Linked DNA regions of Mus musculus: regions 1, 2 and 3 are each reported to be linked to region 4. The links are microRNA targets in miRTarBase. Many come from high-throughput screens and were not tested one by one. Region 4 holds a microRNA gene; each other region holds the end of a gene's coding sequence.

The links. The annotated mature microRNA mmu-miR-141-3p reads UAACACUGUCUGGUAAAGAUGG and lies in region 4 at 1,487-1,508, shown strand. An mRNA with a match to its seed (bases 2 to 7 or 8) in the 3' UTR can be bound and repressed. Matches are read on the target gene's strand: a 7mer-m8 pairs with bases 2 to 8, a 7mer-A1 pairs with bases 2 to 7 and ends in A, and an 8mer does both.
Region 1: the mRNA of Tlcd4 is a reported target of mmu-miR-141-3p. Seed matches in the 3' UTR shown: 7mer-m8 at 2,730-2,736 and 7mer-m8 at 2,569-2,575.
Region 2: miRTarBase lists Smurf2 as a target of mmu-miR-141-3p. Seed matches in the 3' UTR shown: 7mer-A1 at 1,856-1,862.
Region 3: the mRNA of Abhd18 is a reported target of mmu-miR-141-3p. Seed matches in the 3' UTR shown: 8mer at 424-431 and 8mer at 801-808.

The regions. Positions count from the first base shown.
Region 1 is chr3:121,204,302-121,207,423 of GRCm38, forward strand. It overlaps Tlcd4 (TLC domain containing 4), which reads right to left. Exons shown (of 8, transcript NM_001355678.2): 8 at 1-3,122. The coding sequence ends at 2,851. Among named protein-coding and RNA genes, the nearest start is that of Rwdd3, 34 kb to the left of the region's middle.
Region 2 is chr11:106,820,240-106,823,361 of GRCm38, forward strand. Smurf2 (SMAD specific E3 ubiquitin protein ligase 2) reads right to left here. Exons shown (of 19, transcript NM_025481.3): 18 at 2,781-2,856; 19 at 1-2,525. The coding sequence ends at 2,426. Among named protein-coding and RNA genes, the nearest start is that of Cep95, 33 kb to the left of the region's middle.
Region 3 is chr3:40,935,089-40,938,210 of GRCm38, forward strand. It overlaps Abhd18 (abhydrolase domain containing 18), which reads left to right. Exons shown (of 13, transcript NM_026622.4): 13 at 254-3,050. The coding sequence ends at 305. Among named protein-coding and RNA genes, the nearest start is that of Larp1b, 14 kb to the right of the region's middle.
Region 4 is chr6:124,716,303-124,719,424 of GRCm38, reverse strand. Mir141 (microRNA 141) reads left to right here and starts at 1,440; the gene lies at 1,440-1,511. It overlaps Phb2 (prohibitin 2), which reads right to left. Exons shown (of 10, transcript NM_007531.2): 9 at 2,995-3,000; 10 at 2,480-2,819. The coding sequence ends at 2,792. Mir200c (microRNA 200c) reads left to right here and starts at 1,035; the gene lies at 1,035-1,103.

The sequences.
Region 1 (3,122 bases), not on the chromosome of region 4:
AGAGGAAGCAATTTACACATCTGACACTTGAACAGAAACTTGGACTTAAGCAAATTATTAAAATTTATGGAAGAATTTCATCCAAATACCTATAAATTAGGCAACTTTCCAAACCTATGCACCCAGTTTATCCAAAATAAAGCAGGGTGACTCTCAGAGATGGTAAAACCTACCAAAATTCCTCTGGACACATAACTGGTCCACGAAACAACAGGAAACAAACAAAACAAAATAGAAAATACCCATTTCAAGTTTGAAAAGCCAACACACCAGGGTACCTTGAGTTAATTTCTTTGCATGCATATGTAACTCCATTTTGAATTTAAAAAAAAATGCAAAGAATCCTCCAAATGATTTTAGACACAAGAATGCAAATTCTATGAACCCAAGCTCCAAATACCTCAAGTCTAGCACATAACATACCATCAAGTGCAGGGCCCACAGTCTTGCATGCTACTAGTTGAGTTTTGCTTTTTTTTTTTAAAGTTTATTTTCTAGAATACTACATATTCAGATTGTCACTAATCTTCTCTAGAAAAATAGAATTGCTTAAAAATTTATACCAATTTGCTTTTATTTTCTATAAATATTTTAAGACTTGTTAAATATCAGAATGCCTAATAGACTCACTTAAATTAATCAATGTAGCCAAAATACTTATATCTAAAATATCTAGCAAAAATTTGTCATTCAATAAATGAAAATTTCATTGTTTTAGTAAATACTATGTTCTGTCTTTATTTGTATTTTAGGTTGATAAATGTGATCACAAAACAGCAAAATACAGCCCCAGGGGAGGGCTGGCTTGCAGTGGCAGTTTGCAGGACATTTCCAACACAGTTCCCTTCTATAAAGGATGAGGAGAGTGGAAGTCTGGAAGCTGCAGATAATAAGGGCTACAATGGCAAATCTGGGTTTAATGTTTGATATTCCGAACATACTTATTGGTTATATCGAGTAATGATAAAAGCAACGAAATACAAATGACCCTTTCAGCATGAAGCAATTATCGCCTTCACAGAGACTCATAACCATACACTGCCATCATTTTAATGGCGAGTTTAAAATCTGCGTTCAGAACTGTAGTACTAGCCAAAGAGACAAACATATTTACCTCAAGATTTATTCTTTTCTTAGTGGATTTCCAAAATAGTTTTATAATATAAATGTCTTCTCTCCATTAAAAAAAAAAAGCCCATTTTCTTGTAAAAGAGCCATGAACAATATAAAATCATTTGCATCCCTATACCTTCACTTTTACACAACCAGTGCACACCTGAGTTGCCTATGATGGAGACAGCACTAAACTTAGCAAGCCATTACAAATGTGGCATTAGCTGCTTTAAAGACAAAGCCCTATCTTTTTCATGACTTTATCTTTCAAAAGTAAATACACCAAGAACAAGACAATCGACTTGATTTTTATCATTGGACTGGAATTTCAATTCCCATCTTTAAACATACCAGAACTTGCCAGACTCTATCTGTACTAGACAATTAAATCAAACTACATTACATTAAATGTTTTGATGACATTCCATTAGTTCATCAGCCTAAGATGAATAATGAAAGAGCCAAACGTTCTCCTTCAGTCTGATACTCTAAATGGATTAGATCTTTTGGTTTAAGTTCAGTTAAATTCAAGTATTCACCACTAATTGGATTAAGTCTATATCTTAAGAACAATCATTAAAGTCAAGTACTTCAGAAAAAAATAAATAAAGGCAATAATAGCTAAATATATAATTCTATATTTGGATTGCAAGAATCAAAGGAAAAACACCCCACTACACGCGCACACACACACGATTTTTTTTTCACAATGAATGACAGTTTTGATAATCAGAATACTTGGGGTAAGTCACCTTCCTTCCTTCTGCTCTTTAAGAAAACAAAAAGGCAAAGACAAACTAAGCAAGCCTGAGTAAAATCTCTAAGTAAAGCACAAACTCTGACTTGTCTGTAGTTTTAGTCTCACCAAAATGAGGCCGATTTCAGGAGCATGCCCAGCGCGCACATTCTAGACAAGACTGGTGTTCTGGTGTCAGGTTTGGAACTTGGAAAACTTTGCAAGAAGAAATATGATCTTTATGGGGAAAGTACCCGGAAGCAGGCGAAGGCAGCGTGATGAGGCACGTTCCCGGGAGTCCTCACTATCGGCATTCATGTGGTCCACAAGATGGGTCTTAAACCTTGCCTGACTATAAGATTTTCAAAATATAATTGGATAAAGCACTACAGAGAGAAACGAAGCAGCTGAAATCTTAAAAATGCATAAAATATTTTCAAATATGATAGGATCAACATGAGAAGTGCTCTATCGTAGCGTAACAGATGACTGCATACCCCCATGAAACCATGTCAGTTCTGATGGCCTGGGGAAGGGACGTGCTGGCAACTTAGAAAGGAAACCCTACACAGGCTCTGATGTTGGAAAAGACCGGAGCACAGCCAACGGAGCTGCTCGCAGACTGAAAAGCCGTTCTCAGTCCTTCAGCAAAATAAAATGGGTGGTGTACAAAGGCCACCGAATCACCAGCCATTTTCCTGCAGAGAATAATCCCCATGAACACTGACGAATTCAGAAAAGTTTCCCCACTCCACTTACAACTTTTGTTTAAACCTTTCAGTTTCCATCCATGCTTAAAAATATTGAAGGAAAGAAGAAATCCTGGGATGAAGACTAAATTTTATTTTCTCTTGTCTAAAGATTAAAGAAAAGAGGAAAGAACACTGAAACCATGAGTAACAACCGTGCCTAACAGAGCGGCGCAGGAGCTCATCGTGTCGGCCGGGACAAAGAGGAATGAAGATGGCTTATGGAAGCAAGGTGTCCGATGAAGCATGCCTTTAGTCGAGTTTCCCGTTCTGAAGGCTATCCTTGGCTTTCTCTTGTCTGATGAGGGAGATGACTTTGATGCATCCTTTCGTGATTTTGATCATCCACATGATATTCATCACGTCTAAAATAACACAAGTAACGATCCAGACAGACTGGATTACAAATCCGAACCTTATGTAGGGTTCTGTTCCGTACACGGAGTAAAGGAAGAAATACATCGGAGGTATCGAAATGATCCGCACGATGAAAAAGACCACCGTCATAAGAATTCCATTGATGA
Region 2 (3,122 bases), not on the chromosome of region 4:
TTCTGTAATAAATACAATGGAAATGATAAAACTTTGCTTTTAAAGTCAGTTTAGAGAAAAGGAGAATATTACATAAAGTGAACTAATTACATCTAGAATCAGCAACTCAGCATTTGGTACAATCATCATCCTAGTGTGAGAACATTAACCACCACACGTGGCCCCGACCGTAAGCTGCAGCTGAAGGGCGAGGCTGTGCTGCTGACCCTGCAGGCACTGGAAGCGGCTAACACCCACCAGTGCCATCTGTCCGATGCACTGCAAGCTCAGGGCAGATTTAGTGTTGTCTAGGAAAGCAAATTATAGTGGATTTAGGAGAAGAGAAATTTGTGCTCTGGCCTGTAAATGTGAGTGGGGTGGGGAGAGCACTGTAAAATACAGAGCAACAAACTGCAAAACAAATGTACAGGATACACAGCACTGCTTTAAAACTTTGTGCCAGAAAATAGTGGCCTCTTACTGCATGTGAGCACAGGGAACCATTGGTCAGAATGAAGCTTTCCTGATGGAACAGAGCGCCTGGAGGCAGGCGACGTGGGGACAGATAAATATTCACATTAAACACAAGGCAAGTCCAGGTTCTGTGACACTGGGGATTTTTGTTTGCTTAGCACCTATTTGGAAGTAATCAGGTAATGTAATTTTGAAATCGAAATCTAAACCATGTTTTTGATGTCTGTGCTATTGAAGACCGTTACATAGGGCAGTTTCCTCTAAAGCTCTGTCAAGTCACTGTAATAAAGTTAAAAGGCACTCAGAAAGCAGTGGGATTTGCCTGTGTTACACTGCATGGAAAACCACTGAAAGCAGCGTCTCCTTAGCACTGCATCCCTGTCCTCTGAGACAGGGTCTCAAGGAAGCCTCAATCCACTGTGTAGGTGAGACTGGCCTTGGCATGCTGACGCTTCTGCCTCTGCCTCCCCAGTGACAGGATCACGGGTGTCGGCCACCAGGCTGAGTTACACTTCCTGTCAAGTGCTCCTCATGGCCCTGTGCCAAGCTCAGCAAAATCTGCTATTCTTCTTTCACATCCATGTTTAAAAATAATAGTGCATTGTTCTGATGGTTGAATTTTAAAATCCAATGTGATTTTTTTTTAAATGGTTGCAACCCCTCACCCCAGAATTTTTGTTACCTTCTAGATCACAGGATGGGCCACACACCTTGAAAGCGTAACCTCCACACTTGAAGTCAGCAGTGTGGCAGCCTGGCCTCCAGTCCCTCACTTCATGAACTCTTTAGTTCTAGAGTAAATTATACGACTGCCTTAGAGTCACTCTTATGTGAGGCAAGGTCTGCTGTGTCGCTCAGGCTGGCCTCAAACTTGAACTGGCCCTTCTGCCTTAGCTTCCCAGGAGCCAGGATCACGGGCATGGTCAGCCCAGCTGACGTCATGCATGTATGACATTCTTGGCCCACCATGCCCACTACCACCTCCAGCTCAACCAATGAGGTAAAAGCAGGGCTCTCAAACTTGTTAAACGATTTTTAGAGCAAAAATTTTCCTTTTAGAAACTTAATTAAAATATAAGTTAGATGTACTTATTAGAGACTTTGGTTTATAGAAATAGCATATAAAAGACAAGCTGACCCAGCAAAGAATGAAAATCCACCCCATCACATACTGAGAAGCTATAAAAATGCAGTATTTCAATTTAAGATGAAAGTAAATCCAAAATACCTGATCTTCTTGATTCAAGAACATGAGGTCTTTTTTTTTTTTTTAAGTCATCTTAAAAACAGGAAGGGTAGCAAATAAACTGTTTAAATGGCTGCATTAAGAATTTCCAAGAAAGTCACACTTGAAAAATATAAAACCCCACTTAAGCTACGGTGACCCACATAATGCAAAATATAACACTCTGCTATAGAAAAACACAACTAAACATGTAAATGGCTTAATTTCATCAAGGTAATGATCCCTCTTTAGCCAATTGTTTACAAAGGTGGAACAATCCAAAATAACTTTATTTAATTTCTTACAAAGAGCAGGTATAGGAGTTGTTCAAAAATCATGTACTCAATCAAAATGAAGTGTGACTTGTACCGACTGCTGGAGTTGTCTTGCTATGCGGGAGAGACATGAGTCTGACAAGCAATTTGGGGAGATAACCTTGTATAAAAATAGTAGTAGTCTTTTAAGTGTAGAATACTGCCTAACTCTGGAGACGCAGGGGGTCAGCATTCTTTAGGTTCAAGGTATTAATTTTTAAATAGCAGCTGAGTGTGTCCTCATGGCAAAGCATAAAGACCTTTACTTTTCCTTGAAAAGGAATTTCAAAATTGTCCTTTCCCCTCCCAGTGTCCTAGAATCTAAGGAACAGGGGAGGAGGCTGTCCTGTATCCCAGCGTTCTCTGAAGCGCTGCTGAAGGAGGCTGTTGGCCAGGGAATAAATAAGAGCTGTAGGTAAGTCCTTGGTGCCCATCATTCCACAGCAAAGCCACATGTCTCCTCGATGGCCGTTAGCAGCTTTTCATAGAGCTTCTCATAGCTTTCATAGGGTGGAATGTCTATTCGATTGAAGCTGTAAATAAGCAAATCAGCCTTGATCATTCGCTCAGAACAAGTCAGCAGGTACAGCAGGCGAGCATTACATAGGCTTCGTGTCATACAGGAAGGTAGAAGGGCAGCCCTCTAAAGCAGAGGCCACGACTTTGGGGTTTGCTTACTGATTTCTGAATAACTTCACTTTTAAAATCACTTAAAAGAAGTGCTCATCATTTCTTTTAAACAAAAACTTACCGAGAATGACAGAGGAAAAGCTACAAAAATAACTCACCAAGTGTGGGCTTTTGGCAAGTTGTTCGTGCAGGCATCAATCTGGTGTATGGTAAAGAGCCGTGGGCCTGCAGCACCTGCCAGTGAAGGAATGTGGGTCAGATCACAGCAGGCACACGAACCCATCTCCAAAGCCTCAGAATAGATGAGAACATAAGCCACAGGAGCTGGGGAGCACCTTGTATCCACACACACCAACTTGGGGGCGCATAGGAAAAGGAGCCTGGCTTTGAGGTTGTAAGTGACATGTGTTTAAGGCCAGGTGCCATAGCATCAGCAGTGCTGTCTGAGCAAAAGGCTTAACCGATGTCCCTCTGCCAACAAAACACGTGCCACAGAATAT
Region 3 (3,122 bases), not on the chromosome of region 4:
CTTAAGAAATATATGAAGGCCAGCAAGGAAGTAAGTGGACTAGAACATAAAACAAAGATACATACTATTTTATATTGTACACTGAGCTGTTTCTTCATGTACTGTCCTATTTTGTCCTCTAGAGAATGAAGGATGTAGGATATCAGAAGCACATTTTATCAGATAGTTGGAATCAGAGATAATTTTAGAAATATAATAGTTGTCTGCCCTTTCCCATATTTGTTAATGACTAATTCTTTACATTTCATTTTAGACAAGCCATCTACGATGCCTTTGAACGTTTCCTTCATAAATATGCTAACTAATTGGATTGATGTATTGTATAACATCCTATTTCCTACAAAAAGAGTTTACCCAATGATGATGTGAAAAACAAGCAAACAGCACTACATACTTGATTGTTGCCAAATTAGTCTGTGTTGCCAGTGTTACGGGTCAGTTACAAACTGTGGATACATTTCAGTAATGAAAAAACTACTTGAAAAATACAATCCTGAAGTATTTGTAACTCTTTAAAAAATCTCATATACCTTATACAACATCTGTTGTTACTATTTATGAAAACATTTTAATTGTGAATAATTTATTGATTCAGAATAAATAGAAACTATTGGTTTTTTAATAGAATTGTTGAAACTAAAATTGTAACATCACATGTACTGTATATTGTTCTATGGCAGTTTTGCTATTAACTTGATTTTAAAAACTCGTGTCTATCCTTTTTGTGTGTGTAGTGGGTTTATAATTTGGTTTTCAACTTTAGGTGATTTATTGCCATAGAAATACCTAAGATATAAAATCAGTGTTAGCTTTGAATTATGAAAACATCCTGAGTGCTGAGCTGCACCCTCTGTGGTAGTGCACTTGTAGTCCCAGCACTTGGGAAGTGGAGACAGGAGTGTCAGGAGTCCAGCCATTCTGTTTTTCATAGCAAAATTTGAGGCCAGCCTGAGCTGTATGAGACCCTGTCTCAAACAATTGCCTGGCATGGTAGCTCATGACTTTAATCTTAGCGGGTAGGAGACAGAGCCAAGCAGATCTCTTGAAGTGCCAAGGCTGGGACCATGCTTGCCCAGCCTACCTAGACTCTGAGGCCAGTCCCCAGCACTGCCAAATGAAAAGAAAAGCTGGAGGTATTTGGGAAATGGGGGTTATACATGTTTTCTCTACTTAAGAGAGTTTTATGTCGAAAATGGAAATAATAAAAGAACATTGTACTAGATGGTGGGTTCTGTCAGACATTTCTTATACACCTGTTCTTCAGTTGCTTACAGACTGAGTTAACAACTTTGACCTTTTAATTTCAGAATTTAAAAGCTACATATTAAATTAAACCATTGTACAGAAAAACACGAGGTTTTACACACTGCTAGCTTTTTAAATGGAAATTATATGGATAGATATTTGGTGCTAATGTTAAACTGCTCTGAGCTAAAATGTTTAAAAGGCAAATGTGTTTACTTTGAAATCTGTATTGCCCTTAAATTTAAATTAGGTCTTGCAGGTCTAGTGAGGATATGTGGATTGTAACATACCTTCTGCAGCTTTTTAAAAAGATGCTATCGCACTCCAATGTCTTTGCCACTAAAATTTCTACCAGCTATTTAAACATCTTTACTGTGAAATCATTGATAGCAAAGAAGTAGCTTCTTGGACATTACTTTTTAAGGTTTATTAATTTTATGTATATAAGTACACTGTCACTGTCATCAGACATATCGGAAGAGGGCATCAGATCCTATTACAGATGGTTGTGATCTACCATGTGGGTGCTGGGAACTGAACTCAGGACCTCTGGAAGAGCAGTCAGTGCTCTTGACCACTGAGCTATCTCTCAGCCCCTTGGACACTATTTTCAAGTAACATTACAGTAGAGCTGTTAGAGCTACAGCAATTTTGTACTTTCAGGCTTGAATACAAATACAAGAAAACCTGGTCATGGTTGTGGTGGTGCATGCCTTTAATTCCAGCAAAGTCAGGTACTCTCTGAGTTGGAGGCCAGCCTCTGGGCTACACAGAGAAACCCTGTCTTGAAAACAAAACAAAACCACAAAACAAACAAAAAAGCAAAAGAACTGGGTGTAGGACCATGAGTGGTGGCACCCTCTTCCTCCTGCACTGGGAGGCAGAGTTCAGGGTCAGCCTTGTCTTCAGAGGAGTTCCAGGACAACCAGGGCTACACTGGGTATTACTGGAGGTACATCCCTGAAATTCCTGCACTTGGGAGGCAGAGCATCAGTCAACCACAAGGTTCAGGCCAGAATAGTCTACATAATATATTCCAGATCAACTAGGGCTACCTGTCACATATAAGTTTATTTTCATCTTTTAAGTGGCTGTTTCAAGACAGCATTCGCAAAACTACCTAAACTTATTAATTCAGAGAAGAAAATGCCTTTACTCACATTTCTTCAAATCCACTCTGCAAAATAGTAGCTTAAGTACTATAAAGTCTCAAACCCTTGGGACAAATGGCTGAAATGCTTATCTAACATATCAAATTGAATCTGGCCACAAGGTTCTCCCGCCATCCCTACTTGGTTTCCACACCCCGCCTCCTATATTGAACTCTCTGAACTTTGCTGCCCCCAACATACACACACACACACACATACACACACACACACACACACACACACACACACACACACAAGTTGTATATAGTCTTTGAGAAATTAATGTATTCTCAAAGAAGTCCTCTATGCCATTTTCCTGTCACTTTGTGGATTAGGTCTATGAAATACTACAGATTCATTCAGAGCAGAGTTGCAAGGAGCTCACCATGGGCCAGTTTGACCCAATTTTATTTGGTGTACATAAGAGTGGGCATTCTTATATGTAGCTACTACTCTATATTTACGACTCAGCCCTAAAGACCCTGAAGAAGTAGTTCTGTAGTTAGACTTCATAATTTACCAATGTTGTAAGTATATCATTTTATCAATGTATTTTAATGTGGTGCTTTCTCTATTAAAATATTAACAATATAACAATTTTTAAAATATTTGCCAAATTTTATATTTCCTAATAAAAATCTATTTTAGAAAGTATTTGCTTTGTGGTTTGTTTTTTTTGTTTTGTTTTGTTTTGTAAAGAGGTATCATTCCAACTACCAGAAGCAT
Region 4 (3,122 bases):
CAGAGGTGGGTTGCAAGGACCGTCTCTCCTGGTTTAGCTGCAGTAGGGCTAGGAGTTTCGGGAAGGGAGGCCTTTGGGCCCAGGCAGACACTGCCATCTCAGGGTAAAACCAAAGATCCGGCGCAATGCTTGGCGATCCACAGGTCTGTTGGGGCTTCCTCCCTTCCCAGTTCTCAAGGGGTTGTTGCCCGGCCCTGTCTGAGCCCTGGACAGGGACACAGACCAATGCCTGCCTAGCTGACCCCACACTGACCTCAGGGCTGGTCCTCTGACTCTGGCTGAGAGCAGGGTTGGAGAGGCCTCAGAGAAGAGGGTGTTTTAGCTTGGGAGGAAGGAGCCGCTGGAAGGGGATCCAAAGATGGCCTCTTTCTTTATTCCTTTAGAAACAGGGAAAGTACAAGGTAGAAGAAGAAAGGCGGCCAGAAAGGGCGGGAGGCCTGGCGGGGTGGCCAGGCCTCAAGAGGAGGTGCCCAGGGCTGGTGCTGGGAGGGAAGGGGTTAAGGCGGAGAGGGGGGCAGCCTATGGCAGGAGGACACACCTGTGCGCAGGGCAGAGGCGGGCGGGGCCCAGGTGAGGCGCCTGTGCTGCCCGGCAGGTGAAGGAGGAAGAGCGAGAGTGGAGGCCAAGTCGGCTCTAGGCGGCTGAATCCGGGCCGTTGGTACACCTTTCTTTCTTCTGCACCACTCTAGGGGTCAGGCGGGTCTGGTGCCAGGTAAAGGCCACCGATCAGGGGGGTCCTGGGGCTGCGCTAGCGACGGTAGAACGCAGTAAATGGGTGTGTTGGAGGGCAGGGACAGGCCGTGGAATGGGGGGGGGGGGACTGGCTCGCAGGTGGATAGTAGAGGCTACAGAAAGCTGGTTTTGGCCTCAGTGATGGGCAAGTCAGGGTAGGCCTGGTGGGGAGCAGCCAGGCTCTCCCGGAAGTGTCCCAAATGACGCGGAGGTGGGGGATGGGAGCAGGAGATCTGCCGCTTCTCTTGAGGGGCTTGGGCTTAGCCAGGGCTGATCTTGAAGGTGGACTGGTTGGGTAGGGGCCCTCGTCTTACCCAGCAGTGTTTGGGTGCTGGTTGGGAGTCTCTAATACTGCCGGGTAATGATGGAGGCCCCTGTCCCAGTGTCATCGGCGTCCATTGCGCGTCCATCGCTTTAGGCACTTTTATCTGGCAGCAACCCATTCCTCCCACACATAACCTGGAAGCCCCTTCTTCCGAGTTAAGGGTGGCTCTCGGGTTGGCTGGTTGCCCACTGGAAGAACACAATGGCCCCAGCCCCTCCTCCAATCCAGTGTGATTTGTCATCTGGTAGATCCAGAACCTACTAGAAGCAGACCTTGGCCTTGGGATTGTCTACGCGCACACAAGAGGCCACAGTCAGCCAGCCAGCAGCGGCTTCCCTCTAGCGCTTGATCAGCGGTAGATCAATTTATATTGGCTGGCTCTGGGTCCATCTTCCAGTGCAGTGTTGGATGGTTGAAGTATGAAGCTCCTAACACTGTCTGGTAAAGATGGCCCCCGGGTCAGTTCCTTCAGCAGTGACCTTGGAGCCTTGAAGACCACCTAGGCCTCCAGGCCAACAGCCTCTGACCTTTAACCTTCTGGATGGGTGTGTGTGTGTGTGTATCACTTGGCAAAGGGGAACAATGGGAAAGAGACAAAATGGCTGCCTTCAGAACAGCAGCAAGATTTGGAAACACATTTGGTCCCAAGACGCTGGCTTCCGTTGTCTTTTCACCCTGGGAACCTGAATGTCCATGGGGAACGTGGGATACGATTCCGGTCCATTCGGTGGTCTGTCTTAGGCTTCAGGAGAGACCTACTTCCTCTAAGAACCCAAGGAGCTGAAGCTCTGCTGCACCCTCTCGCCCAGTCAGGCTCACCCTTCCTCTATTGTATTCTTGTCTGCCCAGAAGGAAAAAACCAAGGCAACGGTTCTAGCGAAGTCCGTGAGCAATGGCTTGATTTCCCCAGTACTGGAGACTCGGTCTTCGTAAGAAAGGTAGTCTGTGGAAAATAGGTTCAGTTGGGCTCCCGGGCTGTGGGGGTGGGAAGGCCTCCTCCACAGGGAGAAACTTCAGTGCAAATAGCTCATCGTACCTGGTGACTAAGTAACAGCACACCGGGACTTAGGAACACGGAAACCCTTGGGAGGAACACGCCATCTCCCGGAGCTAACCAGGAGCTGGTTACCAAGGAAGCAGCTCCCCCTGGGGTCATCACGTTTTTAGTTTGGCTCAGCAAAGCCTCAGCTGCTTCAGCTTTTAAAAAGATGTCATTAAGTCTGTGGGTTCATTTGGTAGACCTGCGGGTGGGGTGAAGGTGTAGTTGGGCCTGAGATCGGCTGCTCCCAGCTTAGGTCCTGTTGAGGACCCGGCGGCAGTCCGAATGCTACAGGCCAGACTGCTTGTGCCCTCTGCTGGCCGAGTCCCAGTGTGATCAATGTCTTCGCGCAATCTACGTACACACTCAGACACAAAATTTTTGGCTTTAAGTAATAAAAATTTTATTGAGAATTCCTGGCATGGTGGTTATCTCCCCCACTCTGGGAGAGGCTCAAGGCTGTAGGAAATCACGGAGAAATCACATTGTCCCACCCCGCTTCCCAGCCAACACAGGAAGGAGGAAAGCCTCTGAAAGGGCTGGTCTCAGTCTTCCTTAATCCAAGAGGGCAGATACAGAAAAGTCCATCACATGATGCCTGGGGCAGGGTGGGCTGTGCTTGACCCCCGAGCTGGCTCCTCCAAGCTGGACAAGTGTGCCAACTTCTCTGGTGGTGGGGTTCTTGATGTCCACACTCATTTCTTACCCTTAATGAGGCTGTCACTGGAGAACAAAGGGAACATTCCTATTATCGGGGATGTAAGTGTGAGGTGCACAACACCCCAAACCACAGCTTCTTCCTAAATAAAGGCCTGACAATGGGGAGAAAGGGGGTGTAGGGGCAGGTCCAGGAAGCAGATGGCCCCCAGGACCCCATAGCAAGGAGGCAGCCACTTACCTTCCCCTGCAACCAGCATGCCATGAAGTGAGCAGGAAATATGTGAAAAGAGAAATAAATCGTTAGTCAGCTACAGGCTCAGCTGCTCCAGACCCGCACTCCCCAGTGAGGACGGCTCTTTGCCACTA